Linked DNA regions of Yarrowia lipolytica. The protein of the gene in region 1 purifies or fractionates together with the protein of each later gene. This does not show direct contact. Links are inferred from orthologs where the notes say so. Each region holds a gene or a part of one and is shown on either strand. Other genes may lie near its edges.

Evidence for each region.
Region 2: the proteins of YALI1_E40361g (region 1) and YALI1_E18903g purify together in Saccharomyces cerevisiae (affinity purification with western blotting; 3 studies listed by BioGRID, with this or other methods). This does not show direct contact. The link is inferred for Yarrowia lipolytica from reciprocal best matches to the Saccharomyces cerevisiae genes QCR7 and CBP4.

Annotation. Positions count from the first base shown.
Region 1 is NC_090774.1:4,035,400-4,038,396, reverse strand, and holds YALI1_E40361g (uncharacterized protein), read left to right. Parts: upstream 1-1,752; coding exon 1,753-1,880; intron 1,881-2,226; coding exon 2,227-2,485; downstream 2,486-2,997. UniProt on the Saccharomyces cerevisiae protein: Component of the ubiquinol-cytochrome c oxidoreductase, a multisubunit transmembrane complex that is part of the mitochondrial electron transport chain which drives oxidative phosphorylation.
Region 2 is NC_090774.1:1,889,287-1,891,876, forward strand, and holds YALI1_E18903g (uncharacterized protein), read right to left. Parts: upstream 1,021-2,590; coding exon 580-1,020; downstream 1-579. Other genes in the region: YALI1_E18895g (uncharacterized protein), read right to left, coding at 1-208; YALI1_E18918g (uncharacterized protein), read left to right, coding at 2,548-2,590.

The sequences.
Region 1 (2,997 bases):
GTACATAGTGGATAGAGCCCAGAAGTACCGTAAAGGATACGTGTGTTCCTGTTGAGAGATTGCTACAAATCTTCACAACACACAATTCCTACAAGTACAACTAACTACTCTACAACCATACACACTACAAGTCTCAAATATAGGGGATGGGACTCGATGGTCCAATCGTATTAACCCCGGAGGTTCGGCTGAGTACCAGCGTACGTCCTCCTAATACTATCTAATGCGAGTTGAGTAGTTCCTATCCTACAACTATCTCTTCTGTGTTTCCGACAGGGCAACGGGCTCTTTGCTTTCCGGATTCGCGACTCCTCTGTATAAAAGCGGCACGGGCAGCGTCTCGATTCTCAATGATCTAACGGGCTCTGGCTCTTGGCTATATCAATTTTGGCGGCTCTGGTCTTCTGTATCGGACTCGGGCTCTTTTTCTCCCTCTGTACTTGTACGGTTCTGTAACTAATTGGGGCTCCCACGGGCACTCTCGGACTCGGCTTCTCAGGCTCATACACACACATGGCTCTCTCTCGCACGGACACTCGGGCTCTCGCAATGGGTCTTTGACTCAAAATATCTCTCTATAGCGGCTCTCGTTGCTGGTGGCTCTTATAATCACTTGATATGGCGTCTTTCTAGATCTTGGCTTCCTCTGACTGGCGGTCTCTCGACGACTTGGCTCCCTATGGCGGCACATTCATTTCCAAACGGCTCTCTGCTCGGTCATTGTTAAGCGGCACTCCCCTCTGTAAAAAGTTCCGGCTCCAGGGTTTAGCATAGCTGAACTTCCTCCCCCTTGGTAGTCGGTCGAGATCACAGGCTCGAAGACGCGTCGAGACACGGGCTCAAGGCATTCTCTCTCTGTCGGTCGGTGGCACTTCTGCTCTGGCTCACAGGGCTCAGGCATCATATCGCTCTTCGCTATGGTAAGGTCATTTTTTAGACACATTCCCTTAGGGGCTGCAACACAGCTCTTAACCGGTAAACTCCCAGAGCGCAGCTTCTTAGCGACTCCAGTTGGGCATGTTCCCAAAGCACTCTGCTGACCACACTCGGTCAGGTAGTATTACGTCAGGTACGGCGGCCAAGCTCGTTCCTGGAAAGGCCTTGACAGGAGCCTGGTGCTTTTCAGCGGGCTCAGCACTGTCACAGAAGGACCCGACAACCGGTACAGTTGCCAGTCTGGCGGCGGAGGGATCGACTTCTGAAGAAGAAAAAGAAGAAGAAGAAGACAGCAAGAGCGCGATTGGGCTTCCTTATATACTTTTGGGACGTGGCTAGTCAGTAGACCTGAAGCGACAAGTGGGGGGGACACACCCGCCCTGCCATGCACCTAATCAACATTAGAGTTGAGAATGACACGCCTACCTCTTTGTTTTCTGGTGTGGTATCATTATCAGTGGACACTCATGCAGGCAAGGGATAAGGACGCTGGCTGCAGTCGATCCAGAAGGCAAAGGTGGCAGATGAGGACGTTTGACACATACGAATTGAGCAAAATGACCATGGTGCTGTATTCTCTTCGAAATTACGAGCCGAATGAGTGGAGTCAACATTTTTTCAGGTCACGTGCTTAGAACTTGTCCCAACACAGCGAACAGGGTTAGGGGAGACTTCCGCAAAACCTGCACACTGCATCCTCCCAAGCCCTCGGGCCATTAGCCAATAGAATAAGGACAAAATCCTGACCAGTGGAAATACACTTTGAGTGTAGAAAAGATCGCAGAGTGCACCAACTACTTACACAACACAGCAACCATGGCTTCAATCACCTCCGTCGTGAAGACTAGCGAGCTTATCCTCAAGTCTCCTCTCCTCAGCAAGATTGTTGTTCCTCTTGCCAAGACCTATGTCAAGTTCTCCGGATACCGACAGCTTGGTTTCAAGTGAGTATCAAGGAAAACAACGCCCTCCAGCGACACACCCCAACGACAGTTGCGCAGCATCGACAGTACGAGTGAATGGGAAAGATTATGGACGATTTCGGCTTTTGCGACACCAGTTTCAAGGCGTTTCTGCGTTTCTACGACACGCGAAATGTGCCCTTAAACGCGACGACGTAAGAGATATTTCAGGGTCAAAACACCATTGATACGGAAGTGACACAGCGACACTGGAAGACCACAAAAACCGACTCAGAAAGGAATCCCCCGACGCTCAACTGTAGATATTGCTGGAATTGTTGATTGATGGGTGTGCATCAACTTGTGCGTGAGCAAATACTAACCCCAGGATGAACGATCTGATCATTGAGGAAACCCCCAACATGCAGCTCGCTCTCCGACGACTCCCTCCCACCGAGTCTTACGACCGAGTCTACCGACTCATCCGAGCCACTCAGTTCTCTCTGTCTCACAAGCTTGCCACTGGTAACGACATCACCAAGCCTGAGGAGGACGACCACTACCTCATTCCTTACATCCTCGACGTTGAGGCTGAGGCTTTTGAGAAGGATGCTCTTGACAACCTCGAGGTTGTTAAGCGAAAGTAGGCATAAAAGCTCTAACAATACATGATTATTAGGTACGAGAGGGTAGGTATGGATGTCAGTACTTGTAGTCCGTGTATTGTATCTGGCACATGTAGTGTTGAAGATTGTAAGGGGTTTAGAACACAGAACGATTGGTGCGTATTGAGAGTTCTGTTGGCATTGACGCATTAATCTCTCTAAAATTAATGCCCCCGTTTGTGCTGACCAAATTGCTGTCTTTAGGGTCACTGTTGCGTGGTTGATTACTTATTACAAATGGGACGATTTTCACGCACTGTCCGAATCACCGATCATAATATTGGTCAATTTGTGTGAACAAAACTTAAATTTGTTTTAACCAAATTTCCAAACTAAGGATCACACAATTTAATGGAGAAATGACTTAGGAATAGGTAACTCGTTTTAGTCAGAGGATAGGAAATACGCCAGTTCCACACAATCATATCCTACTCCAACTACTTGTACTAGCTTGTAAATCGTTCACTTATCATCTAATGAATGTTAGCAGGCTA
Region 2 (2,590 bases), about 2.1 Mb from region 1:
GAAACGTCTGTTTCGACTCGGTTTGGCCCATTGATGTGCAAGTCGGTATATTGAGGGTGGTCAGATGGCCTGAACCTAAATCTCGCGTACAGGGTGATAAGGGTAAGGGTTGGATTGTGAGATGCAGGCAAAAATAAATAAATTGTGATAACATAGCGTAGAAGTAGAAGCAGAAGTAGAAGTACTTGTACAAGTGCTCGTGATTCATAACGTGTACTTTGTTTAATATTTTCTAAATCAATTTTTAATACGTTAATAGTCGGATTTTTTTTTTTTTACATTTTCATAATTTTAATTCATTTTTAATTTACTTTTCCAAGCAGAGTTTTATTGAATTAATTCTGTTTCACGTTAGGTAGGTGTTTAAGTAAATTTAAAGTAGAAAAGTAAATAAATAAATAGATAAATAAATAAAAAGGAAAAAAATGAAAATAAAAAAACGTCCATGTCCAACCTCACCACCGACTCCATTCAAAAATCCAATGCTTAATTCATTATTTATGCTTGCTATGTACACTTTTACACGTTTAGACAGCCCAACCCATTACAGGTCGAGCATCCCTTCCACCATCACCACTTCTACCACCATCCCTTCTTGTTCTTTTCCTCTTCCTCCTTCTTGGCGATGGCAGCCAGCTCGTTCTTGATTCGCTCGTTTCGATCCTGGTCATTTCGAGCCTCGATCTCCTTCATCTTTTCTCGCACAGCCACATTGAAATCAATGGGCTTGGAAGCCATGGGCCCAACCTTCCAGATGGGCTCGTTGGTCTTGGACTGGGCAATGGCCTCCTTGACAAACTCGTTGAAATACTCCTGCCGAGCATCTCGCTCCAGCATGTATCGCTCTCGCAACTCGGGGTTCATTCGTCGCACAATATCTTCTTCGGAAGGAGTGGCATAGCGGTATCCCAGATATGCCGATCCGATGACGCCGACGGCAAACAGACCAAACTTGGGCCAGTTGGGCACGCCGGGCCGCGACCGGAACATTTCGACAATCGGCCAGTTTTCTAATCTCATGATTGTGTGTGTATGAGCGTGTGAGTGAGGTTATGACCAATGATGATGATGGTAATGTGGACAAGGTGATAAATCCTAATTAGACTACCTGTCCCACTCAGGTTATGAGTTAAGAGGAGGGATGACCAGTCTGGAATGGCTTAGAAAAAAGAAAGATTGGGGGTATTATAATATTCAAACTGGCAATTAGGTGCTAATTTGACGTTTCATCTAGCAGTCAAATACTCATAATCTGTGACACTGTCATAATCTGTCCCAACCACGTCCCAATTAAGGTCCATATACAGATATTTCAAAAAAAATATCGAAATAAGAGTAAATAAACCTCTGCACCAACATCTTCGCTTAAGAATGGCTTATATGACTTATTGTTATATCTCAAATGTTCCCTGGAAGCTCCGAAAACTCCTGCTTGTACCACTCATAACCTGACGTCCCCCCATTTCGACGGATTTTAGCGTGGGGGGCATTCAACCTGCAAAACCTGGGGCTGCATTAACCCTAGGCAAAAGGGCACGTGACCAACCTTATTTTGAAATGTCCACGTCATAAGCAGATCGTCGTGAGTAACCTACTTTTTGAGGGAAGGGGCTGGTAATTGTGAGGAATGTAGTTGTCGGATTCGAGTTTGAGGGGTTCAATTTTTTCGCCAATCGAGATACAACTCATAATTACAAGTACTTAGTTTCATCAAGTGCATCTGTGGAACATTTGGTCATGCACACCACGGACTATTGTATTTTTAGGTGAGTGATTGGTGACATGATAGTCGATGAGACACGGACAGTTTGCTGGCCGGGGGTTTGGGTTCTTTTGAGTGGGTTTTTTATATATTTTATATATTTTATGGATTTTTTGATTTTTCAATTATTTTCATTCATTTTCTTCCATTTTCATCCATTTTATTCCAAAATCCCCCAAATCCCCCAAATCCTCCAAATTATTCCAAATGATTCCAAATTCCCCGTTATTCCAACTCGATCGATAATGAAAATCACTCCATGCCTACTGCACACACAGCTCATTAGCTACAAGTACAAGATCGAACTTGCTTGTACAAGACTTTTCCAGTCTCAATTTCGGTTTATTAGCTTCTCTGTTCCATATGATTCTGTGCCTGCGGTCGGGATCACTGAGTCAGAAAAGCTTATTTTCACCCGTGTTTGCTCCGGTTTGTTTTCGTGCCGAGGCAGGACCAGTTAGAGCGACGTCGGGGATTTGCCGGTGGAAAAAAAAAAAAAAGAGGTGGTGGACATGGTCATGGAGCAGCAGACTCCCGCAGCAGAACAGTCTGCGAGTCCAACTACTTGGCCAAAGCGACTTGTTCTACAACTTGGCCAACTTTCAGTCTTATTCTCCAATAAGAACCGTCCTCAGCGGTCTACACTCTGCTGTGTCTTTTGCGCGCGCCTTTTGCTCCTTTTTTTTGCTCCTTTTGCTCCATAGTTGGTTTTACAACTGTATACACACACATACTATGTACAACAGCACTCTATTGTTCGATTCGGCGGACTTGAGTGTGGGGACATGTGGGGGGGGGTAGTTACAACGACGGATATAAGAATGGGTT